Linked DNA regions of Mus musculus. The protein of the gene in region 7 interacts with the protein of the main gene of each other region in a biochemical or structural test. Links are inferred from orthologs where the notes say so. Each region holds a gene or a part of one and is shown on either strand. Other genes may lie near its edges. The genes, in order: Prkd1, Crebbp, Ets1, Mapk8, Sp1, Pml and Jun.

Region 1 (3,500 bases), on a different chromosome or scaffold from region 7:
ACACCTTCGTATGGGAGAGAAAATTTATTTCAGGACTCAAGTGAACTCTATAACTTTCTTTTTGGACCAGTTGGAAAATATTTAAGGTATATTTAATGTTTGTTTAGTCTAAGAGTGGCTGTGAGAGACACCAAACATAAAGTTGAGTCTTTGCTCCTGAAAAGATGCTAATGCACGAATCCCCCCAAAGGTGATGTACCAAGAGAGAAAAACCCAGTCATTAAGTCACAGTGATGAGCTGAGGAGCCAGCTGGATATAAGTCTCTAAACTTGGAACCATGAGGGCAAACCTTCCATCTAATGAGACTTATTTAGTGATGTAGCATTCAACATTCTATGGAGAGTAGAAGTGAAGATGCTTAGCTGAGTCCTCAGGGCCAGTCTAAAAGATTAACACAGACAAACCATCTAGCTGCTACTAAGCCCTGGGTTGTTTTGTAGACTACAAAATCTCCTTTAGCTTTTTAAGCAAATAAATGTTTAAAAATTGGGTGTATTTTGGTATTCATTGTGTGCATATGAATGTCAATTCAGGTACTTCCCAGGATGCTAACCCAGTATCTCGGTTATAATTCACAGTCTTAGAAGTAGGTACAAAAACACGTCACATTATGCTCATTAAATAGCTTCTTGAGTTAAATTGTAAGTTGTTTTTGCCTTTAAATTTAAACTTTTCACCATCAAATCCATGTTCCCTCAGAGAAATTGCACTTGTTTTTATAAAGCGCTCGAATTTTTAAAGTTGTGTAACTTCCATTTCAGCGGAAAAGGCACTACTGGAGATTGGACAGCAAATGCATAACACTCTTCCAAAATGACACAGGGAGCCGGTACTACAAGGTGAGGCTGGCTTCTTTCAGTTTTGCCTCATAATGTTCCTTAAGGAAATCGGGAAGTTGGTCCACATCCAACAGTGTGACCATTCCTGGGCTCCCGAAAGAAACCTTTTAATTGGCGGGATGCGGTTTTTGTAGGAGTTCAGATGTGACATCTTGATTAATCTGTGTGTCTCGCAATTGCCAACAACGTGCTTCTGGCGCAGGGGCTTCTGGGGAGCCGGATGCTGGAGAAGGAAGCGGAGGGGAAGCTAAGTGCAGCAGGGTAGCTGAGTGGTTTGGTTTCAATAGAGAGTTGGTGGCCACAACCCGAGACTACGAGTAAATCTGACATCCTCAGGAAGCCAGCACTGGTTACAGGGAGATCCATTCCTCTGTGTATGTGAGGATCGTATCCCTTTATTTATCAGCAATCGTCTGCCTTTCTACATTAAATAATATACAAGTAGTGTCTAGCTCAGTTCCTGTGATACTTCATGGTCTCCGTTACACAGCTATGACACCACACAAGAAAAGGTTATTAGATTTTTAATTGAAAAAAAATAAAATTATTACTTTAGTTACTTTATGCATCCTGCAGTATAGTATGGCACCTCATGTTTTTAATACTTAAATGACTATTAAAAAAAAACAACTAATTTGGGAGTTAGGAAGGATGGATCATTCAATAAATTACTTATCCCATAAGCTTGATGATCTGGGATCTGAGTTTAAATTCTCAGAACACATAATGACAATGATCATCATTGTTATCATCATCATCAATAATAATAATCCAGGCATAGTCTAATATGTCTTATAACCCTAATGTAGACACAGCAGAAATAGGCAGATTTCTGGAGCCAATCAGTGAGCCTGAGTTTAGTGAGAGATTCTATCTCAAAGATAGGTACTAGTTGTACAGGCACACGTGATTTAAAAACAAAACTTCATTGTAAACTAATTGCTGTGGTTTTTCTCAGTGAACATTCCTCTATGTAACTATGCTGTATTAGCATATATAGAATCAAAATATGTTTGACTGAGATGAAGAAACAGTTGAAATACAAAACAGCCATGAGTATCCTAATACATTTTTAAAGATGTTATAATTTGCTTCAAAGCTTTTTAGATTCTTCCATCTGCCACTGGATCAGTATGTGTGAGAGAGAGAGTGAGGGAGGGTGGAAAGATGGAGAGAAGAAATTTTTCAGAGAGTGTGATAAGGCCTCATTATAGAAAATTACATTTTATGCAGGTTATAAGGCCTCATTATAGAAAACTACATTTTATGCGTGTTATATATATTTGAAAATATTTTCTGTATTTTGTAACTTCCTTTCTCATTTAATAATCGGCATGATTTTGGTTAACCACATTTACCATTCTTTGTCTTCCATAGGAAATTCCTTTATCAGAAATATTATGTCTGGAACCAGCAAAACCTTCAGCTTTAACTCCCGTTGGAGCGACTCCTCATTGTTTTGAAATCACTACAGCGAATGTAGTGTATTATGTGGGAGAAAACGTGGTTAACCCATCAAGTTCCCCACCAAACAACAGTGTTCTCCCCAGTGGCATCGGTCCGGATGTGGCCAGGATGTGGGAGGTGGCCATCCAGCATGCTCTTATGCCCGTCATCCCCAAGGGCTCCTCTGTTGGCTCCGGATCCAACTCACACAGTGAGTCCATTGGCTTCAGTCTGGCATGGCTCAGGCTCCTGATGGTCCAGTAAGAGACCTGCTGCTTTCCCCAAAGAGATGATAAAGAAAGACTCCCCGTGCTGGCTTCAGTTTGTGGCAGAACATGGAATCTCTGAAGGGAAGCTGCTATGCTTACTGAAATATGTATTAAATTGTTATACTTATTTTATATTAGAGCTTTTATAAAGTCAAGTATAACCTATATACTATACGACCACAGGTGCCCACAGCTATTGTTCCTAAAAGACACCATTCAGTCAGTTTGAGCTTCACTTGGAATGACACAAATATGAAAAAAAATCTATTTGCTACAAATCCCTCCTCCTTTTCTACCCATGGTCTATGACTGTTGTTGCTGCTTGATCACTTTATCCCAGGAAGAACTTTCGGTGCACTAGTCAAATAGATTCAGCTAGAGTAGAAGCAAGATGAAATATTGAGGTGGATCTTAAAAAAATAGAGGAGTACCTTTATGAAATTATGATCTGAAATTCTATCACAAATCATGCAACCTGAAGATTAACCTGTTTTAACATTATAGTATATTTTATCTGTCATAATTATATTTTTTCTCAGTATATTAATAGGATACACTTATTTTGACCACAAGGAATGTATCTGTATGTAAACTAAGCACTTAACCAGAGGCCTCTACTTTAACTCCTAAAACCCCATTCCTTAATGATTTGTCTACATTCAAACAGAAACAATTTCTAGAAAGTTGGTTGTCTATTAGCTAACAGAATGGCTGCATAATTTAACCCGAGCTCTATGCTGACAAATAAATATTTAAAAACAAATTACAGAGTTTGTAATGTTAAGGGAGCTAATATATTTTAATAGAAATTTTGTAGAAATACCTAATTGCTGTGATTAATGTAAATATAGTAAATATGGCCCACTGGGGTCTTTAAAAATATACTTTAACTATTTCTTGTCTGTTTTTTAAACATGCATTTCCAGAAGATATTTCTGTGAGCAT
Region 2 (3,500 bases), on a different chromosome or scaffold from region 7:
ACAGAGGAGGGAGTAGGGACTCTATTATCAATGCTGGCTGCTGCCTGAGAAAGCTGCAAAGAAATCACAGTCATTCACCTCTGTAAAGGAGAGCCATACATGTCCTCCCACCGCAGTCTGCTCATTATTCTTCTTTACAGCCTAAGTACTTAGTGTGAACACTGAAGGGCAGAGGCTCCCTGAGGAAGCTTAACAGTCAGTCACTGAGTGTCAGAAACACAATGACTGACTTCTTACCAAAAATGAAGAGCTGGACAAACAGAGTTTTCTAAATTCTGACATAAAATTATTTTCTCTCTGCTTTCAGACTGGATTATTTTACCATTATTTTTCTTCACTAACATTCCTATTTATGGAGAAAGGCAAATTATAAACTATTAAAAAAAGTATTTACAGAGAGGTCATGAAATAATGGCCCATATGAAGCATCTATCACAGGGTAGTGATGGTGGTGTAGTAAGCAAACACTCCACTACCATGTAACAGGCTCTAAGCAGTACATAAATTAATAAAGGAAGATTGAAAAATTAAATACAAGTATCTTAGAGGGCATAGGATGCAGCCAGTGGCAAAGTGCTTGCCTAGTGTTTACAAAGGCCTGGTTTGAAGTCAGGAAACATAAATAATTGGAGACAAAAACAAAGAGAGTAAGTATATGCCCTTATAGAGAAAGCAAATTAGTAATGTCATCTTTGCAACTGTTGAATGATTTTGTTATTCTACAAATATCCTAAGTATCTAAGAACAGAATTAATGCAAACCTGAGAGGAGGGGATCTGTTGTTTCATTATAAATAAAAAAAAAAAGTCATGTATTCTGAAAGAAGGCTGATTAGCCTGGACCTTTATAGTCTGGAGCGAAGCATGATAACTAAACCCACAGAACTAAGCACAAAAGCAGTCAAACCTCGACAGTATTACTCTAGAACAAAAACCAGGTAAAAGAATGGCAGCACACACAGTTCAATAGTTCTGTCCATGCTGTGACATACTGATGATTACTGACTTCTATAAACCACTCTGACCAAGGGAAACTGTAAGCCATACCTTTAGGGCCAATAATAGTGGGAACAAATCAGTTTACTACAATTTCACACACACACACACACACACACACACACACACACACACACACACACACACACACGAGTTTTTCGCACCAGAGCAATTTGCTATAGCATCCTGACAGACAGAATAGTCTTTTATTTTATATTTATAGATAAGAGTCTTACTTCCTAGCTCTGGCTGGCTTCAAGCTCACAAGATAAGCCTGCCAGTGCTTTGAGTGCCCGACAGACCATTCTTAAGGGACTCTGTACAAGTGTGACTTGATAAGGACAAAGAGGCTCACCGGTGTGCCAGGAGGCTGAGTATGCACAGGCGTTGGTTGCTGCTGTGATGACTGAGGAGTAGCCACAGATGGTGGCTGCACTGGGGTCTGAGGCTGTGGAGTCACCTGAGCCTGTGCTGCTGCCTGGACTGTAGGGGTACTCTGTGTTTGGGCAGCGCTGGGCACTGAGCCAGGAGTTGGGGTAGGAGTCTGCCCAGATGACACAGGAGTAGATGGCTGAGTGGGAGCTGCTGGCTGAGGAGGGGTCATTCCTGGTGCCGTTGGATGTTGGAGAGAGGGCATGCCAGCAGCTGTGGAAGCAGGAGGTGGAGTCGGGTGCAATGGTGACTGTGTCACTGGTGGGCAAGGCAGCTGGCTGGCCTGGGGTGCCAGCATGTTCAGAGGGTTAGGGAGAGCAGCTCCAGGTACCTGACCCTAAAAGAGATAGTAAGAATATATAAAAACTATTTTACCCAATTGAAACCATGAGGGACTTGTAGAAAAAAAAAATTATACTAGTTTCTTAACTAGTTCTGCTAGTTTCAGGAGGATATTGCATTTGTAAAACTTCAGACTAACCATTTATAGCATGCACCACACCATGTAATAAAATTAGCACTAAAATCCTTCTCATACTTTGACTTATAGAACTTCAATATCAGGTTACAATAGTCATGGCTTAGGCACATATTTACTTAGTTTACTAACTTCATGTTTTGCCACATCTACTTTTAACTTAGACCACAGAAAAAGGAGTTTTGTTTTGTTTTTTAAATAAGTTGAGACAGTAGAACATAGAGCACTGGGGAGACCCCTAACTTTAAAAAAAGAATCACAATGGCTGTTCCAGAGAGAAATTTGACCTAGGTACCACCAACAGTTTTATAGGATGACAACCACAAGGAGATTACACATTGTCTGTAACTACTTGTACACGGTTAAGAGCAGAGCTAAACAGTTACGAACGACTAGGAGTATGACTCTGGAAAGAGAACATATTTACTATCTGGCTGTTGAAACTACTGGTCACTGTGGCAAATGACTGAGATATAAAGAGTGTAGCCTGGGCTACATGGAGAGACTCTGGAAAGGGAATAGAGTTGGTTTCCTTATCTCTGTTCTAAAGAAATGAAATGATAGGGAAAATTAATCATCCCCGAGTAAACCTAATATATTCAACAACGCATTCAGCATCAGCTGAGTGTTTAAAAGGACAGGACTTTTATATTTTGAGAAAGATTTAGCCTATTTGAAATACTTTGTATGCAGCTGACACTTGATGCACTACCAAAGTGAGGGAAAGCAGTAAACTGGATGGGAACTCAGCTATGACTAAGTAACTGGAACATGCTCATGAGAAGAGTGCTATTCCCATGATTCTGACAGCTCTGTCACCCCAACACATAGTTAAGATACAAAAAACTAACCAAGTCACTAAAAGAAAATTCACCCCTTCTTAAAATTCCAGTATTTCTCAGAATGACGTTAATCTTAGATTTCTAAAGCACACAAACAGCAACCAAAATCCAAAGGTAAAAATATAAGAGTAACAAAACAAACTAACAAAAACCAAAACCAAACAAACAAAACCCCCACAACCACAATCCATTTTACTTTATGTGTGAAGTTTACCTAGAGGGAACAAGAAAAATTAAACACAAATTAAAAATTATAGGGCAAACGGGAAATGGAAAGATGTATATTCTAGAATTCTAGTTTCCATCAACTAAGACAGGATCATGTCACAAAGGCTGGGGCTATATAAATACTGGTTGACCAGGCTCCCTCAGTGAATGTACCTGTGAAACACCTGCCTGGGCTGCTGGTTGCCCCATGCCCACACTGTTCACACTCATTGCCCCACTGGATGATGGAAACTGGTTCTGTGGCAGAAACTGGTTCTGAGTAGGTGCCTGGGCCATAATGTTGTTGGCATGAGTGCCCATCATATTTGGAGGCTGAGGCATCCGTGAAGGAGAAATGGCCATCTATAAGACAAGAATCAGAAGTGTTAGGTCAGAGTCTTCAAGAGATCACAGTACAGTGGAGATCCAAAGCCTTACAAATCTAGTACACTTTGGTTTTAAAGACCACTACTTCCCAGGGACTCCCCAGTTCCTAGGCACTTTCTACAATTTCTCAAGTCAATGCTGAACTGTCTTCAGAATGGC
Region 3 (3,500 bases), on a different chromosome or scaffold from region 7:
CGGACACTTAAGTTTTTTTTTCCTCTGCAAGCCAGGTCCAACAGGCTTCTGAGAAGACCTCTCCCTTCTGAAAGTCTGCTCAGGAGCTATTGCCCCGCCCACCCCGCAGGTCCTGACCTCCTCTTTCCGGCCCACCAATGGCCAATGGAATACAGCGGCGCTCCCTCAGCTCCCACCCCTGAATGTGAAAAATGAGTTCTGGAAAATAAAACATTGAATAACAATTAAAAATGAAGAGTCCAACCAACAGGGTTGCTCTTTGAAAGGTCTCAGCAGGGTTCCCCCAGCCCCTTCCTTCTGCGCGTCTGTCCATGACTAGTCAGCATCCGGCTTTACATCCAGCATGGCGTGCAGCTCTTCAGGGGTGTATCCCAGCAGGCTCTGCAGGTCGCACACAAAGCGGTATACGTAGCGCTTGCCCGCCGTCTTGTGGATGATATTTTTGTCATAATAGTAGCGAAGGCCACGGCTCAGTTTCTCATAATTCATCTTAGGTTTGTTTTTCCTCTTTCCCCATCTCCTGGCCACCTGTAATAAAAATAAAATTAAATACAAGTGTCTATACAAGTCTTCACATCCATCATGGTGGTCAAACAAACATCATGTGTGTGTGTGTGTGTGTGTGTGTGTGTGTGTGTGTGTGTGTGTGTGTGTGTGCATATGTCTGACTTATTCCTTCATTTCCTTTTTTAAAAAATATTTTGAATTGTTTATAATAACTATACATTGAATGTATAGTTAGGAGCCATGGACATTCTGAGATTATTTCAAAAGATGTAGGCAGAACAATGCAACATTTTAATACAGCTGTGCATTGTGTCGTGATCAGACCAGGCTAAATGGCATGTCTTCAATCACAGGCATTTCCCATTACTTTCTGGGGACCATGCAAAATAACCCACATTAGCGATTCTGAAATACCTGCTAATGTTCTGTAGGCACCCTACAGTACCACAGAGATTCCAGAGTTGCCAATTCCTGTACCTGCATTCTTGGGCTCATTAACCAGGGTCTCCCCAACCCCTTAGCCTCCTCCTGGCCATGCTCAGATACGTCACTCTTTTATCCTCTGTGTCTGTGGAATCAGCAATTCAGTGTCTACATGTAAGCGAGAATATGTGCTGTCTTTCTGAGCCCAGAGTATTCCTCTCAATAGGACAATGTCCCTATCCCATACATGTGACTGCAATAGAACTTCTAATTTCAAGTGTCCAAGTGTTGAGTTCCATTTACTTGTTCAAACAGTGACTCTGAACTCCTCTGGAATACAGTTAAAACACTTGGTCTTGAAGGAAAAGGAAGAGCCGTGGGGCAGACATCCCTCTGGCCCACATTATAAGCAGGCATCCTTAAAATGAAAGCACAGAACTGGGCAGAAGGGAGAGGATGGGAGGAGAGCGCTGGCACCTCTGCTTCCACCAGTAGGAAGCATCCTTTCTGGACCAGGGTAGAGACACGTTCTCATGTCTGCCAGAAGAGAGATCTCTTCGTTCATATACCAACCATTTATTCAACACTCTGGGATGAAAGGATGGAAAACGATCAGAGTGGATGCATCTTTCCAGATGCACAGAGCCAGGGACTAGACAGAGGGCAGGACCAACTCTGTACCAGGAACTTATATATACATCAGTTTGTCCCAGAAAGTGTACACACTTTGGGCTCTGCCAATGATGAGACAGAAGCTCGGGCTGGCTGCATCATAGGTCGCACACGCAGCAAGCAGCAGAGCTGAGCTAGAAATCTGGGCCTACAGGATCACAATCCCAGCATTTTCTCTCGCCCATTCTCAGCCCAGGACTCCCAAGTCACTCATTACATACCTCATCTGGGTCAGAAAGCTTGAATTCCCAGCCATCTCCTGTCCAGCTGATAAAGGACTGACAAGACTTATCAGTGAGTAATTCCAGAAGAAACTGCCACAGCTGGATCGGCCCACTTCCTGGAAGCACAAGGCACAGTGGCTCATTAACAAAACACACTGAAGGCTCACAGCAGCTAGGCCCACTAGGCAGCAACCCTCACCAGCCTCCCAGCCTGTCTAGACAGGCGAAAACTCAGGCAAGCGACAGCACAAACACTGGAGTCAGTACTCTGCGTTCAGAGAAAGTAAAGATTTCCCTTCCAAAAGAAAAAGGAAATCACACAGGATGATACACCATGTGTCTGTTTTTATTAATTTCCAGGTTGGTCTCTTTTAATTGCTGTGCTCTTTTAATTCCAGAGTTTTCTGGAAAGACAACACCAAGTCTATCTTCACACGTGTTCTACGGAATTACTAATCTTGTTTGTTTGTTTGTTTGTTTGTTCTGAGATGACTCACTACAGAGAACTGGCTGGCCCGGAACTTGTAGACCAGGTTGGCCTAAAACTCAGAGATCCACCTGCCTATGTCTCCCTGGTGCCAAAGGAGTTTAGTCTCTCCTCAGCACACATAAGCTTTGTGAAGTAAAGGAGCCAGCTCTTCCTTACCACAATGAGAATATACCTCCAGCTCTGTGAAGCCATCTTGCAAAACACATTGTGAAAATAAAAGCACTCAGCAAGTGCCTTCTAAGCAAACGACCTAGAGGGCTGTAAAGCCTTCACTCCCGTCACATCTACCCATCTGTAAAATAATCCACTTAGTGTACAACTCAAATACGTGTTCAGATTTCTTGGGAGTCCAGGTAAGTTAGCAGCTGCTCTGAGCTCAGGAAGCTAAAGATGGCAAATGAGAGACTCACTGAGAAGCCATTCTTGGTGACCCGGGAGCAAACCTCTCTTGAGAAACGGACTATATAAGAGCTCCGGTGTCAACTCTTAAGTTTCCTGATGATGCTCAGTAATCTCACACATCCCTGACAGAGAGACACAGAAAAGATGACCTGAGTCCTATGTGCACTCTGTATTAACACTACAGACCTCAAATATGAGAAGATTGCTAACAAAAAACTAAGGGGAGCTGCTACACACTCCCTTAGCTACACATCAATCACTGTGGCCTTAGCTACACATCAACGCTTTCTCTCTGCTTGTGAATTCTCAGTGACTCAACGGGATAGATACTGTTATTAGTCTATCGGTTCCTACCGTGCAGGAAAACAACAACAAAACCACAATGTACAACACAGCTATCTAACTTGGGTGAAGGCAATCAGAAGAGAAACAGGATAGCTGGGTCAAGACTTCAGATTCTTCAATACACTGCCCAAACCAAAAGCCAAGGGCCTAATTAGATTCCCTGCCTGGTTGCCGTAACTCGAGTGCTAAATGGTTCTAGCTTTCAGAAGCCATCTCCCTTGCTTCTCACGTAGTCACACTCTTGAGATACACATGGCCTACTATGCTGGGTACCTATCCCAACAAGTGACAGTGCCAGCCCCAGAAGGCCCCCTGAAGTGGCTAAGTTTTATACTATTAGAACCTCTCTCGTACTGTCTTAAAATTTTCTCTTAGAGCAAGGCTAACCTATTAAGATTAGGAGAGGGATGGAAAGATGAAAAGACCCAGACAGGTCC
Region 4 (3,500 bases), on a different chromosome or scaffold from region 7:
AGTTCAAGGTATTTCTGTTTTGTTTTGTTTATATAGTATCCTTTGCTGGAGACCAGGCATGGATGGCACATACCTGTAATCCTAGTACTTGGGAGACTGAGGCAGGAAGATCACAAGTTTGATGCTAGTCTGGGATACACACATACTTCTATTTCAATATTCTTACAACTTTAAAAGCATTATCAAAAAGCTGAATACTAAGAACCAACCAACTACCTAACCAATAGATAGAAAATTTATTTTTCATCCGAACAGGAAATTATCAAAAAAATACAAATGGATAATAAATGTATGAAAAAAAATATCAACATTCCACATGTCATCAGGGACACACAAAAATAGTACCAAGATTCTATCCAACATCAATGGAAATGGCTACCATCTATCAAGAAAGCCAAAAGTAACAAACGCTGGTAAAGATGTGGGGGGAAAAAAAAGGAAGCTTCATACATATTAGAGTAAAAATGTAAATTATAATAGTCACTATAGAAATTACTGGTTCCTCAAAAAAACCCAAAAAGCAGAATTCCATTAAAGGCACCTAAGGCAGGCAATAGCAGAGCTATCTGCACACCCATTTCTATTGTGGTACTATCCACAGCAGTAAATACACTATTAGTGTAGATGGCCATCAACAAAAAAAAAAAGCACGGAGAAAATGTGGTAAGGTTGGGTACGGTGGCAGTCTTTAATCTCAGCACTCTAGAGGCACGCAGTGCTGGGGAAGTTTGGCATTAGTCTGCACTACATAGGGAGTTCCAGGCCAGCCAGGCAGACCTAGCTTTTTTGAGATCCTGTCTCTAACAACAACAACAACAACAACAACAACAACAACAACAAGTGGTTTATGTGTATGCAAATTAGTTTTAGCCAGCTATAAAGTAGAATGAAATTATGTCATTTGCCAGAAAAATGGATAGAACTAGAGATTATCAAGTTAAATAAAATAATTTTGACTCAGAAAGATAAATATTGCATGTTTTCTTTCCAATGTGGAACCTGGGTTTGACAATATAAATATACATGACACAAATACATACAAGGGCTGGTTAGGAGGTGAAAAGGGACCAGAGAGAAAATAAGGGAGGCCATGAGAGAGTAACAGGAGGTTGGCACGAACAATGTAGAGGTTATGTCCATATCTGAAGATGTTATAGTGAAACCTGTTACACTGTACACTGAAATAATAAAAAGCATATTTATGTATGACCATATTAATAAAATAGAAAAAAACTAGATCTGATGTTCAAAGATGATAAATTAAGCCACTCTACTGGTTAGAGTGGCTGTGGATCAATACTCTTGTATCATGCTGACAGAAGCAGAAACTACAATTTCTTTAATAAAAAATCAGGAAGTAACTAAAATTTAAAATTTGGTCCAGCATATAAGCTTTTTGGACTACTGTCTCAATTCTATGAAGTACGTGCACATAAACACATGGCCACAGTAACAGACTGTGTGAAGGTCCACCTTCAGTGCTTCTCACAAGGGAGCTGGATATGGACTGGGACACAAGCTTCCCTATAGCTCACCACCTGCCAGCTATTAAAGTGTGACGTTAGACCCAATAGGGTCTGTCATCTTCAAGATATATGGATACATCAACAAACAGGTGTGTACAGTACACTGAGAATACAAGCACCAGTCATCTTGTAGATGGGACACCCCAAACATGGCTGCTGGAACAAGGAAGAAAACACTAATGTGACTATAACTGAGGTACAAATTTTCAAAATTAAGGAAGGAAACTGACTTTCTACTTTTGTAAGACAAATAAACAAAACCTTACTACTAAACATAAGTTATGAAAACAGAAAGCAACACTAATTTCTGTAACATGAAGAAGTCACTATGGAAAGCCAGAGGCTCCCTCAGTGTCTGAGACTCCGGTGAGTGTTACCTTTCCACTCCTCTATTGTGTGCTCCCTCTCATCTAACTGCTTGTCCGGGATCTTTGGTGGTGGCTGAAAGACACAAGTCAGAACAACTGTTATAGTTTACTGGATGTATATATACAATTAATTATTTGAAATATCAGCTAGACATACAACTTGCAAAAAATGAATCATGAGACAAAGGTCAATCAGTTATCATTAACTTTAACTTTCTGGAGAGTAGTTCTGTAAGATTCCTTTCTAAGTAATAAGCTGTTTGTCTTTTTTCTTTTATCTCAAATTTTAAAATTGTCACATTCTACCTATATTTCAGAAATCTGTTCTGCTTTAAATACAAAACATTGTTTCTATCTAAGGATGCACCCACAGGCATCCTAGGCTCCTCTAATCAACTGTGAGTTCAACAGAGTGAGAAACAGTGGAGGTTCCTGGACGATGATGAGGGCTTGGACAGATGCTCATTAACCTAAAGTTTTCTTTAGGAAAACCTCGGCAAACACCAACACCGGTGATCTGTGCTGATTTTTACTTAAAATGACAAGTTCTCTCTGAAAGTATTTCAGTCCCAGCTCTAAGGTTGGAGTATGCTCTTCAAACATTGAGAAAGTAACTTACGGCTTCTGCTTCTGAAGGATCATACCAGACGTTGATGTATGGGTGCTGGAGAGCTTCATCTACGGAGATCCTTTTGGATGCATCTATTACTAGCATTTTGGATAACAAATCTCTTGCCTGACTGGCTGCAAAAATAATGATATTAATATACACCAGTTCATGAGATTATTCAACCATGCACATTAGGATTCTGAGATTACATTTATTTTAGAAAATTCATCTTTGCCAAGCATGTGGTGGTACATATGCTTGTAATTGCTAAGCGGAGGATGCGGAGACAAGAGGATAACAATTTCCAGATGAACTTGGTTTATATAAATTGAACCAAACCAAACTAAACCAAGACAAAACAAATCCTATGCTTTTAAAAAGATGCTTTTGTTATTTATTTTTATGAGTACTAAAAAAGATTTATTACAGGTTTTGTTTGTTTCATCTTTTGAGATAGGGTTTTCTCTGTGTAGCCTTGGCTATCCTGGACCTTGCTTTGTAACTATGCTAGCCTTGAGCTGTTCTCTGCCTCCCAAATGCTGAAATTAAAGGTGCTTACCATCACTTGATTTATTGCATTTTCCAGTTATGTGTATATGTGTGTACAGAGGGAAGGGGCAGGTGTATGTGTGCACATGAGTGCAGGTGCCCAGGGAGGCCAGAGAGGGCACTGGACACTCTGGAGCTGGATTTGGGAGTGGTTGTGAGCTGCCTCACATGGAGGGTAGGAATTGAACTTAGGTCCTCCACAAGAGCAGCAAATAATCTCTCTAGCCCCTGTTTTTTTGTTTTTCTTTTGTTTTGTGTTTTAAAGACCAGGTCATGCTATGTACCCTGGGCTAGCCTGGAACTTACTAGGTAGCTCAAGATTATCTCAAACTCCTAACAATCTATCAGACACAGCTTTCCAAGTGCTAGGATTACATTGGGAACCACCACACCTAAAGAATAATTTTTCTATAAAACCAGGGCACATACATGATTTATAAAATACAT
Region 5 (3,294 bases), on a different chromosome or scaffold from region 7:
TCAGATAACTTATCCAAAGGCTTATAGTCCTCAGCATCTCGAAGCCGGCTTGTAACTAATCACCTCATACTGAACAAGATTCTATTTCTTGAAATTTTCTAGCAAAATACTGCACACTCCACTGAGTTATCCTGCCCTCTTCCTCCAGAGATGCAAAGTACATGATTATAAATGTAAAATAACACGGTTTGTTTGAGTTCTGCTTTTCTTTAGGAATAAAAGGTGTGATGGTGGCTGAGGACAGATAACTTTTACGTCAACATTAATAACATGTGATTTGGGGACAGTCCCTTGAAATATTTCCTGAGTCTTGATAACAGTATTAAGTCTGCATAGAAAGGACCAAATGGAATAAACTAATGTTAGTATTTCAAGCTAACAATACCATAAACTTATCAAGAACCTAGTTTAGATGGAATTTACATAAAATGTATAATAACACTATAATCTATTTGTAGCCAAGATAGAGAAGTTAGAATAAGGAATCCACTATAGATTTGGATGTTGATTTCATTTTCAAACACAAAAATAGTTTCTTCTTTAGAAAGTGCACTAGGATATCCCCCCAACCCCATAACTGTTAACCGATTTAGCATAAGCAGAGAACTGACCTTAGGAACATACCCAAGTTTTATGACCAATTTCTAGATACTGGACCTGAAAGGCGTTTTGATCTGAATTTATTTTCCAACAATTTCAAATATAAGTTCTCATCTGCATGTAGATATATACAGGCACAAATACATTCACACGCAGTCATACAAAAACAATTTAGTTTCTCTATCAGATCAGGGTAATTTTTTATTGCAGGTCTCTTTAAATATTGGCTAACAGAAAACCTATCCCCAACCTAACAGATCTCACACATACACTCAACCACTCCCATACTTCCTCACAGTGAAAAGCTCTCTGACAAGATAGCACAAGGTCTAGAGAGACAATGCTTTAATGGCTGGGCCTTGAGGACAATTCTGGTTGCATTTAAGTCTCAGTGCCAAACGCACTGAGTTTCCCTGCCGATAAAATGTTTGGATCAGTCTCTTCTGGAATCAGGCCATAGAGAAAGCAGGATAATTTCTCCCAGTTTCTCCTATAATCCACAGTGGTAAGACAAGATTTCTTTTTGTTCTGGGCTATCGTTCCCATGATTGTGTGCTTCCCTTTCCCTTAGGAACCACCCAAGTATATCTAAGGAAGAGTTAAGGGGGACTTTTTTTTTTTTTTAAAGAACCACTTTTGCCACTGGCACAAGTTTTGCACTCTACAGGATGGAAAATCCAAACAGGTTCACTGGCTGATGCTCCTTAACATTAAAACAGTAATAGGAAGGAACTACAGAAATGTTCAAAAGAGGAAGTGTACTTCCTTTCAGAGTGTGAACTCAGAAGCCCATACATTGAGGCTTATAGCTATTTGGAAGACAATGATACTGAAATCCGAATAATTCCACTAACTTCTGAACCCAAGACTAAGAGTTATTTCCTTTTCTGAGAACATCTTTTTCATACTGAAAGCTGCTGCCTACTATTTGACCATTTTGGAAGTATATCTCCTTCAAAGGGCCTCTTGTACAATTCCACAGAAAGACTTCTGATTTCTGATGTTTAGAACAGCTAAAAAAGGGAGATGGTTTTGACTCTCCAGCACTAAGGTGCTTGCGTCAGTAGTATTTTGAACACTCCCTCCATAGCTACTTCAAGCATCAGACTATACTTCAGGCTTTTCCACTCTGTTGCTGGAACTAAAGTCTTTAAAATATTAACACAAGTGCCTAATCCAGGAATCACTGTCAAAAACAACACAGGAAGTGATCGTGTGAGGAAAGGGAGACAAGGATTAAGTCAGGAAAGGAGTGCAAGGAGCTGATCCCAAATAAAATAACAAAATTAAGAAAGAAGACACATTATATATGTATATATGAACTAAAAGCAGAAAGTATGAATGCTTACTCTGGTGGGATGCCAGGACAACATTTATAAGGAAAGCTTGATGTGTCATGATAAGGCTCAGCCATTGAGAAATAAGGCAATTTTTTTAAAAAAAAGAAAAGAAAAGAAAAGAAAAAAAGACCAAGGTATTTTGGTCACAGAATGGTCTTTTTCCTCCTCCCAGCCAGCCCCTGTGAAAGCATCTCTATATATTTTTTAATATATATATATATATATAATATAGAATCTGTTTTTGTTAAAAAGTATTTCAATGATCATATATATTTATCAAGGCATGATGGCTTTAGGAAAAGGGGGGGGGAATCCATCATGGGAGAGCTAAGAGGGAAAAACAGGAAGAGGAGGCTGGGGTAAGAAGTGTAAGAAGAACCTGGGATGAGATAAATGCTGATCAAAGGGTGGCACCAACAGAATTTTCACTAATATTTTCCATTTTCAAGGAGTCACCAGTGACATTGGGTGCCACAATCCCATCTCTTTTTTTTGTACCATCTCCCAATTCTTCCTACCACCAAGCACATTAATGCCTCATGGCTCTCTCTTCCAGATGTCTCTTGGACCCATGCTACCTTGCATCCCGGGCTTAGTGGGTATTGGCCCATATGTCTCTGGCACTGGGTGTCTAATCTTAGAAACCATTGCCACTGATATTAATGGACTGCAGCTCTGTCACCTGCATGACGTTGATGCCACTGTTGGCAAGACGGGCAATACCCTCTGGACAGATGGCCTCCATGGCTACCATATTGGTGGTAATAAGGGCTGAAGGAGTGGCAGTGCCTTCTGAACCTGCCCCACTGTCCAGGGGCAATGTGCCCACACTCAGGGCTACACCTGGGCCTCCCTTCTTGTTCTGGTGAGTCTTGATATGCTTTGACAGGTGATCACTCCTCATGAAACGCTTAGGGCACTCAGGGCAGGCAAATTTCTTCTCTCCTAGTTTAAAAAAAAAAAAAAAAAAGATAAATTAGCCAAAAAGCAGTCAGAACAAAGTTGAGGTTGATGTGTATCCTTCTGGACTAATTCAAGTACTCTTGGAGACACGCTTAGTTTCACATATACATTGTTTAGGAATTTCAGTTTGCTTCATGGGCATATCATTTCTTTTTTCTTTTCTTTTTATGGTTTTAGAGCTTTATTATAGAAAGACAGAAAGAGAGAAGGTAGAAAGAGAGAGGACTGCCATGGCCAAGTGGAGAAAGGAGGGAAGGGAGGGGGAGAGCTGGAGATGAGAATAAGAGAGGTGAGAGCTTATGAGCTCATTTCTTTCTTTCTTTCTTCTTTTTTTTTTAAAGATTTATCTATTTTATTCATGAATACATTGTAGCTGTCTGAAGAGGGCATT
Region 6 (3,966 bases), on a different chromosome or scaffold from region 7:
GGGTTGCGGTGGTTGGTATTGGAGCAGAAGATATTGGACTTGCGCGTACTGTCGAGGAAGCTGCTCACTGAATTGTCGCGGAGATCAGCCAGGGGCCGGGCCTCATGCTTGAGGTACCACTGGTGTGCTTCGAAGCACTTGCTGCAAATGAGCTGTTCACACTCGAAACACCAGAAGTCGGCCAAGCCTTTGCAGCGGGTGCACGCAGCCTGAGCATCCACGATCTGCCGGAACACCGCCAGGCGCCGCTGCAGGCTCTCGAAGAACACGTTATCCAGGGCCTCCCCATTAGCATCGGCCTGCCCAGGAGCCTTGCAGATGGGGCACTGCAGGCCAGGCGCCTCCAGGCATCCGGAGCACAGCGTGTGCAGGCAAGGCAGCAGTTTGGGGCACTTGGCTTGGGCCTGGCAGCTCGGGCAGCGCAGAAACTGAAATTCCTCCTGTATGGCTTGCTAGTGAACCAAGGAGAGAAGTGAGGCCTACAGAAAGCCCAGACGTCTTGTCCCCTCCACTGGCCGCCCATCCCTTCAGCTGGAGATTGGAGAGGGTAGGACCTCACATTCCATTCCTGGGAGTCATTGGATCATGTCCTGGCTTATCGGCACCCCAGTTCCTCATTTACTTCGAGCCTTGCAGCTCTCACTGCACAATTTACCGGGCACCCATCTGCTTATCATTAGACTCACTAGTAGGTCCTGAGATACAAGATAGGATAGATACATCTTTGCATTTAAGGGACTCAAGTTTGGAAAAGTATCAACTTCATATAAAGTGCTTAACACAATTGGCAGGATGACCCTCAAAAAGTTAGACTTAAACTACCGTATGACCAAGCTTCCACTTTCCATATATATACTCAAAAGAACTGGAAAAAATATCCAAGCATATAATTATATACTAATGTGCCTAGCAACACCCCCACAAAAGTCACAGTGACCCAAGTGTCCTTAGCACATGAACGCATGAACAAAATGTGTCTGCAAATGTAACAAAATAGTATTCACCCTGAAAGAGGAATGAAATCCTGATACATTCAACAACCTGGATGAACCTTGAAGACATGGTGAAATAATATGCCTGCCATAAAATTAGAAATATTGTGTAATTCCAGTCATGTCATATAAAATAATAATAGTTAGTTCATAGGTATAGAAGGTGGAGCTACTGTTCAAAGAGCTCAATACCATGGTGCCTGGCACATGAGAAATACCCATAAGTCTAATCCCAGCACTCAGGAGGCAGAGGCAGGCGATTTCGAGGCCAGCCTGGTTCACAAAGTGAGTTCCAGGACAGCCAGGGCTATACAGAGAAACCCTGTCTCGAAAAACCAAAAAAAAAAAAAAAAAGAGAGAGAGATTGAGAGAGAGAGAGAAGTACCCATAAATGTCAACTAGTATTTTTAATCCTTAGCTATATAATGCTAATAATAAAAAGTTAGGGCAATGTGACCTTATTTGTGTTTTTTGTGAAGGGAAAAATGAGTGAAGAATAATGGGATGGAGGTAGTTCCTTCCAGGGTGAGTATGGAAGGTTGAGGCAATACTCCCAGGAAGGCCATGAACTAGGCTTCCTTAGGAAAATGAGCTTGGTGGCGCATACATTAATCCCAGAGCTCAGAAGGCAGGCAGGTGGTTTCTATGAATTTGAGACCAGCCTGGCTTACAAAGCAAGCTCCAGCCCGGCCAAGGCTACAGAGTGAGACCCTGTGTTCCAAAAGATAAAATAAAATAAATCCCTAAACCTCATACACATAAAATAAATTGATGAAAATCAAAAGAGAAAGCAGCTGTGTGAATCCTGTTGGTCTTAGCAGGCACTTTGGTCTGAGCCAGGTTCTGTCTGTTTGTTTGTTTTGTTTTGAAACAGGTCTTGCTGTGATGCCCTCAGCGGTCTTGAACTCTCTTTGTGGCCTAGGCTGGCCTGGAACTTGTCATCCTCCCTCCAGCCCTACCATCCCAAGCACTATTGCTCCTGGGATGTGCAACCACAGCTGAAAAACGGGAAGTGTTGGTGTGGGGGTCAGGGAGGGCGACTATAGTTTTGCCAAGTCTGGGACATGCCTTTAGCTCCAGGCCAGAGCAAATAAGACTCCTGGCCAGGCCTTCCACAGGACTATAGTCTTTCATCTGAGGTAGGCGCTTCAGGCAAGGCTTCAGGGAGTAGGAGTTACAATCCAACTATCCCCAGTTACAATCCAACTCATCCCGGTTTTTTTTTTTTTTTTTTTAGACAGGGTTTCTCTGTGTAGCCCTGGCTGTCCTGGAACTCACTCTGTAGAGACCAGGCTGGCCTTGAACTCAGAAATCCACCTGCCTCTGCCTCCCAAGTGTTGGGATTAGAGGTGTGCCCCACACCGCCGGGCCCCTGTTCCTATTTTACTCTAGGCTATCAGTTCTACCTCTGCCCAGCCAGGAGGGTCAGGACCTTGGTGTCTCTTTAGGACACTAACCCATTAACTTACTTCTCTATAACGACCTTCTTCATCCTCAACTCCTCGACCAAAGTAAACGAATAAAAAAACCTAATAGCCCTACACCTTCTAACCCAGTAGTACCTCTGCAGGGCTTTGGCTGTGTTCATAGTCTTCGGAGGGTTCCTCTGGGGGAGGCATGGTGGGCGTGGGGGTCAGGGCAGAGTCCTGTTGTCGACAGGGAGATCCAGGGGGTGCAGGTACCTTCTGCACGGAAACTGGTTCAGTTTCCATTTCTTGATTAGGTCTGTGAAGGCGGGAAATGGGTCTCAGATCTGAGCCAGAAAACTGAGCGAGAGATTGCCCGAGGAGAGCCCGCCTCCCGAGAGGAAGTGAGACAGGGCTGGGCGGGTCTAGGGGCGGAGAGGCTGGTTCTATAATCTCCCTTCCAAAGTTAAGAGAAAGACTAGGGAGCTATGGAAGTAACTCTGGTAGAGTCAGAAAGGTTAACCAAACAAGCAAGTAAACAAGCCCGGCATGCGGGCATGGCTCATTAGCAGAACAAGGAAAGATCCGGCCACGTACGCAGCATGCACACCAGGAGAGAAACAGAGCTGACAGGCTTTTCCCTGTCTGTGAGCTATTGGACTCATTCCACAGCTATATGTCTTTCTAGTTAAAAGCCAGGTAGAGAAATAAACTCCTCTTTGAGAGAGCCTCCCAAGTGCACCCTAGTGGAGACTTCGACTCAGTACTGGGATGGGTTTGCCTGGAAAGGCATCCCTCAGCTGAGAATGGAGCATGAGATAGAAAATGACCAGGAATTCAGAGCTGCTCAGACATTTTAAAGAGAGACAAACACTTGGAAAGGAGTGGAGGTCTGAAACAGGAGAGCCAGTTTGGGAAGTAGTCAGGGCCATTTTCAGATTTAAGATGGGGCTCCTGCGAAGTGATACCAGAGAAGATGAGATGAATCATACGGTGAGAAATGGACCGATTCTACATATGATCTGAGAGTTGGTGAAGGGTTTCTTACAGCGTGTCAGCTGCGTCTCTTGAATGACCTTGAGGCAGGTGGCCTATGAGAAGTAACTGTGGGACACAGAGTTAGTTCTGAGTCAGTGGAAGGACCGTGGTGACAGAACAGCGTTGAATGGGTCTGATGACTGTGCATCGTACAGAGGTAGACAACAGGGAGGCAAGGGGAGAGCTGGCCAGCAGTGGTGAAGAAAACAAGAGATACAAAGTTAGCTTTTTGACCAAGAAAAAGCAATCCAGAAACTAGTGGGTGAGGAAAACACACACCTGCTGACACTCTCATTGGCCAGTGCCTTTGGCTTCTAACTTCAGTCTGTTCCCACCCACTTTTCTGGCCCCTATGTGCCTATTCTCTGTTCCTATGTGAAACTGATTAAAAGGGATGGTAACAGGTTCCTGCTTTTGTAAACTTAGAGTTGTGGTGAGATGGGTTCTAAAGGGAGACCCAACATCCTGGAGACTGTGGAGGCCATACATCTAAGCTGACCAGTATCCCTTGGCCTTTAAAATTAGCCCAT
Region 7 (4,127 bases):
TTCCTACAATCAGACAGGGGACACAGCTTTCACCCTAGTATATTGGGCACTCAGCTGTCACTTCATCTAGCTATCATTATCTATGGATAATGCAGCAAAGAGGTTGGGGGCTACTTTTCAATAGTTTATTGTATTTTCTTAAATATCCTTTCTGGAAATTTTCAGAAACAAAACATAAAAAAATTATATACTTTATTACAAATGGTAAACTCAGAATGCTTCAAATCTCTTATTTACAAACACTGGGCAGGACACCCAAACAAACAAACATGGAATAACTTACAAAGGCAGGAAGCTGTTTATTGACAGTAATCAGCTTTCATCAAATTAAAAAAAAATATATATGTACATACACAGTTGAGAGAGGCAGGCCAGGGGAGTTCATCTGCAGTCTAGCCTGGCACTTACAAGCCTCCCCCCCCTTCCCAGCCCTCCCTGCTTTGTGTTAAGGAGCACTACAGAAGCAATCTACAGTCTCTATTGCAGTTTGTAACCCCTCCCACCCCCCTTTAATACTGAATGAGATCGAATGTTAGGTCCATGCAGTTCTTGGTCAATGTTAACGAAAAGTCCATCGTTCTGGTCGCGCGCGGGCACAGCCCGTCCGCAAAGTCTGCCGGCCAATAGGCCGCTGCTCTCTGGCTCCACGCCAAAGCCAGGCGCGCCACGTCCTTCCCACTCCAGCACACTGGGGGCGCCGTCAGGTCGCAACCCAGTCCATCTTGTGTACCCTTGGCTTCAGTACTCGGACACTTTTTTTTTCTCTGTCGCAACCAGTCAAGTTCTCAAGTTTGTCTCTGTTATTTTTTTTCTTCCATTGCCCCTCAGCCCTGACAGTCTGTTCTCAAAACGTTTGCAACTGCTGCGTTAGCATGAGTTGGCACCCACTGTTAACGTGGTTCATGACTTTCTGCTTAAGCTGTGCCACCTGTTCCCTGAGCATGTTGGCCGTGGATGCCAGCTCGGAGTTTTGCGCTTTCAAGGTTTTCACTTTTTCCTCTAGCCGAGCGATCCGCTCCAGCTTCCTTTTCCGGCACTTGGAGGCGGCAATGCGGTTCCTCATGCGCTTCCTCTCTGCCTTGATCCGCTCCTGAGACTCCATGTCGATAGGGGACAGGGGCGGCGTCTCTCCCGGCATCTCCGGCACGGTCTGCGGCTCTTCCTTCAGGGCTTGCAGCCGCGGGTGCTGCACCGGGATCTGTTGGGGCAAGTGGTGCGGCGGCTGAGGCGGCTGCTGCTGCTGCTGCGGCTGCGAGGGAAAGGCCAGCCCGGCCGCGCCATAGGAGGGCGCCCCACCGCCGCTGCTCAGCGCACCCGGGTTGAAGTTGCTGAGGTTGGCGTAGACCGGAGGCTCACTGTGCAGGCTGGCGCTGTAGCCACCACCGCCGCCAGCGCCTGCTACTGAGGCCACCGCGGGAGCCACCATGCCCGCCCCGCTGACCGGCTGTGCCGCGGAGGTGACACTGGGAAGCGTGTTCTGGCTATGCAGTTCAGCCAGGGCGCGCACGAAGCCCTCGGCGAAGCCCTCCTGCTCGTCGGTCACGTTCTTGGGGCACAAGAACTGGGTGGGGGTCGGTGTAGTGGTGATGTGCCCATTGCTGGACTGGATGATCAGGCGCTCCAGCTCCGGCGACGCCAGCTTGAGCAGCCCGACGTCGGGCGACGTGAGAAGGTCCGAGTTCTTGGCGCGGAGGTGCGGCTTCAGACTGCCCACCGGGTCGGCCAGGTTCAAGGTCATGCTCTGTTTTAGGATCTTAGGGTTACTGTAGCCGTAGGCACCGCTCTCGGACTGGAGGAACGAGGCGTTGAGGGCATCGTCGTAGAAGGTCGTTTCCATCTTTGCAGTCATAGAACGGTCCGTCACTTCACGCGGGGTTAGCCTGGGCTGTGCGCAGAAGTTTCGGGGCCGCAACAGCGCGCCGGGAAGCGGGGGGATACCCGCGCGTCCCCGCTTCTGTAACAAAGTTTGTTTAGGAGCGTGCGCTCCAGACGGCAGTGCTTCCCCCTGAGCCCTCCTCCCCAGTTCGCTCCAGGGAGCGCAGGGTTAAGACTCCGCTAGCACTCACGTTGGTAGGCTCCCGCGCGATGCCGAGCTTTGAAAAGTCGCGGTCACTCACGGAGCGCTCTCGGGGAGCAGCGGTTCCTTGGAGCCCGCAGACCAGTCCCAGCAACAGCGGCTCTCCGGCGGTGCTGACCAGTCGTCACGGAATTCTCGGTGGAAGCCCGCGATCGGGCTCTGCCGCCCGGCCTCCGACAACTGTCCCCTCCTCCGCTGTGAGGGGGAGGGGGACGCTAGGCAGCCGCGGCTAGCGCTCGCCCAACTTCAGCCGCCTGTGCGAACTGGTATGAGTATAGGTTCCTCTTCTCCCTTTTCTTTACAGTCTCGGTGGCAGCCTTAAGGCGCAGAAGAGATTTGCAAAAGTTCGCTCCCGGCCACTTGTTACCGGTCCTCTGGGTCAGGAAAGTTGCTGGCCGGTAGCCGCTCGCCTATTTCCTCGCGCGGTCGGGAGCCGCTCTCGATGCTGTCAGCAGCGCCCGGACTTGTGAGCTTCTTCTCCGTGGAAGGCGGGAGAAGGGACTCTCCAAATGCTCCCCAAAATACCGGTGCAGGAGCCGCGGGCGCTGGATCCAAGCAGTTGGTGAGAAAATGAAGACAAACGGATGAACAGTCCGGAGTCCGCGGCCGACCGGGTTGGCCAAGTCCGTCCGTCTGTCTGTCTGTCTGCCTGAGCGCTCTCCTGCCAGGCTGTCTCTGCCACACTCAGTGCAACTCTGAGTCCTTATCCAGCCTGAGCTCAACACTTATCTGCTACCAGTCAATCCCTAAAAATAGCCCATGATGTCACCCCGAGGCTTTCCCATTGGCTTGCGTCGTTCTCAGGGGGGCGGGCCCACCCGTCGCCATGGAGACCTCACCCTAGAAGATTCTTCTCTGGGCCCGCGAAGGCTCACGGGATGAGGTAATGCTCCGCTGCGCTCCTACAGTTGGGCCCTTCTTTCTCCTCCTCCCCCCCCCCCCTCCCGCGCTCAGCTTCGGCTTGTGTTCCCGGGTTCCCTCCCCGGCGCGTCTTTCCCGGCCCGCCCGGTGCATTGTGGGCTGACGTCTTGGTTTGGCTGTCTAGTGACGGAGGCTGCCGGTCGGCAGGACCCTTGCGGAGTCTGTCGGAGGCGGGCTCAAGTTCAGGGCTGGGGACTGGGACCGAGACGCGGGGATCCAGAAAGCAGGGGAGGCGCGCTAGTGGCCGGGGGCGGAGAGCTTGGGTGGGAGTGAAGGTTGCACACAGGCGCGCGCCCGCGCGCGGGCACACACACACACACACACACGCACGCACGCCCGAGAAAGGGCTGAATGATCTGAGTGACTGAAGCTGGCTCCGCACCCCCGCACTTCCGGGGGACAGAGCGATGCGGGTTAAAAGGGTTGTGTGCGCCCTGGGTGTGGGAGCACGTAAGTGCGTTGAAGTTGAGCGGGTTTGAGAGTAGCCCTCCAAGATGAGTATGCTTGGAAGTTTAGTTTCGGAGAAGGATCTGCGCCGCAGTGTGCTGTACCTGGAAACCAGAGATTTGCGGTGTTCGGAACCGACTCATCAGGGTCCCCGGCACAACACTTTATTCTCTGGACGTGCCGGGGGAGGGGTGTTCGCTTTGCCTCCGAGGGACCCCTCCTCTAGGTGTGAAAGATGCTAGCCCAGCGCCCATGGGGTGTCGAAAGCAACATATAAAGGTTCGAAACTCAGGAAACCTCGGCGATCGCCTGCGCTAGCACATACACACGGTCCCGCGCACACTCAGTCTGCGCCCGCCCTTCCTCCCTCCCTGATTTGCTTCTGGGAAAACAAGCCTTGAGAGCTGCGGACTCGCCCCAAGTCACGGTGCTTAAGCAGGAGTCCCTGGTAGAAACAGGCTGAAAACTCCCCTCCCCGCTCACTGGTGGAGTCATATCCTGTGCGGCCTCTAGGAAGCGCTAGACACATGTAAGTTATTTCTTTTCTAAGGTTCTGCTATCAGCCCTCCACCCTCCACCCCTCAGGACTAAAGAGGTGGCAAGCTTGGTTCTCCCAGGGCATAAGGGCAAATCTCAGAACTTCTCTGAGCTTTATTGGTCTCATCTAGAAGTAGAGCGAATG

Evidence for each region.
Region 1: of the proteins of Jun (region 7) and Prkd1, one has a biochemical effect on the other in vitro, tested with the Homo sapiens proteins (2 studies listed by BioGRID). The link is inferred for Mus musculus from reciprocal best matches to the Homo sapiens genes JUN and PRKD1.
Region 2: the proteins of Jun (region 7) and Crebbp form a complex in vitro, tested with the Homo sapiens proteins (4 studies listed by BioGRID, with this or other methods). The link is inferred for Mus musculus from reciprocal best matches to the Homo sapiens genes JUN and CREBBP.
Region 3: the proteins of Jun (region 7) and Ets1 form a complex in vitro, tested with the Homo sapiens proteins (2 studies listed by BioGRID). The link is inferred for Mus musculus from reciprocal best matches to the Homo sapiens genes JUN and ETS1.
Region 4: of the proteins of Jun (region 7) and Mapk8, one has a biochemical effect on the other in vitro, tested with the Homo sapiens proteins (76 studies listed by BioGRID and IntAct, with this or other methods). The link is inferred for Mus musculus from reciprocal best matches to the Homo sapiens genes JUN and MAPK8.
Region 5: the proteins of Jun (region 7) and Sp1 form a complex in vitro, tested with the Homo sapiens proteins (2 studies listed by BioGRID). The link is inferred for Mus musculus from reciprocal best matches to the Homo sapiens genes JUN and SP1.
Region 6: the proteins of Jun (region 7) and Pml form a complex in vitro, tested with the Homo sapiens proteins (2 studies listed by BioGRID). The link is inferred for Mus musculus from reciprocal best matches to the Homo sapiens genes JUN and PML.

What each region holds. Positions count from the first base shown.
Region 1 is NC_000078.6:50,387,250-50,390,749, reverse strand, and holds part of Prkd1 (serine/threonine-protein kinase D1), read left to right. Parts: intron 1-762; coding exon 763-840; intron 841-2,217; coding exon 2,218-2,497; intron 2,498-3,481; coding exon 3,482-3,500.
Region 2 is NC_000082.6:4,115,905-4,119,404, forward strand, and holds part of Crebbp (histone lysine acetyltransferase CREBBP), read right to left. Parts: intron 3,318-3,500; coding exon 3,129-3,317; intron 1,765-3,128; coding exon 1,351-1,764; intron 54-1,350; coding exon 1-53. UniProt on the Homo sapiens protein: Acetylates histones, giving a specific tag for transcriptional activation. Mediates acetylation of histone H3 at 'Lys-18' and 'Lys-27' (H3K18ac and H3K27ac, respectively).
Region 3 is NC_000075.6:32,751,241-32,754,740, reverse strand, and holds part of Ets1 (protein C-ets-1), read right to left. Parts: intron 1,943-3,500; coding exon 1,824-1,942; intron 529-1,823; coding exon 316-528; 3' UTR 1-315. UniProt on the Homo sapiens protein: Transcription factor. Directly controls the expression of cytokine and chemokine genes in a wide variety of different cellular contexts. May control the differentiation, survival and proliferation of lymphoid cells.
Region 4 is NC_000080.6:33,384,659-33,388,158, forward strand, and holds part of Mapk8 (mitogen-activated protein kinase 8), read right to left. Parts: intron 2,639-3,500; coding exon 2,514-2,638; intron 1,968-2,513; coding exon 1,904-1,967; intron 1-1,903. UniProt on the Homo sapiens protein: Serine/threonine-protein kinase involved in various processes such as cell proliferation, differentiation, migration, transformation and programmed cell death.
Region 5 is NC_000081.6:102,430,316-102,433,609, reverse strand, and holds part of Sp1 (transcription factor Sp1), read right to left. Parts: intron 2,886-3,294; coding exon 2,578-2,885; 3' UTR 1-2,577. UniProt on the Homo sapiens protein: Transcription factor that can activate or repress transcription in response to physiological and pathological stimuli.
Region 6 is NC_000075.6:58,246,987-58,250,952, forward strand, and holds the start of Pml (protein PML), read right to left. Parts: upstream 2,801-3,966; 5' UTR 2,705-2,800; coding exon 2,555-2,704; intron 453-2,554; coding exon 1-452.
Region 7 is NC_000070.6:95,049,423-95,053,549, forward strand, and holds the start of Jun (transcription factor AP-1), read right to left. Parts: upstream 2,801-4,127; 5' UTR 1,850-2,800; coding exon 845-1,849; 3' UTR 1-844. UniProt on the Homo sapiens protein: Transcription factor that recognizes and binds to the AP-1 consensus motif 5'-TGA[GC]TCA-3'.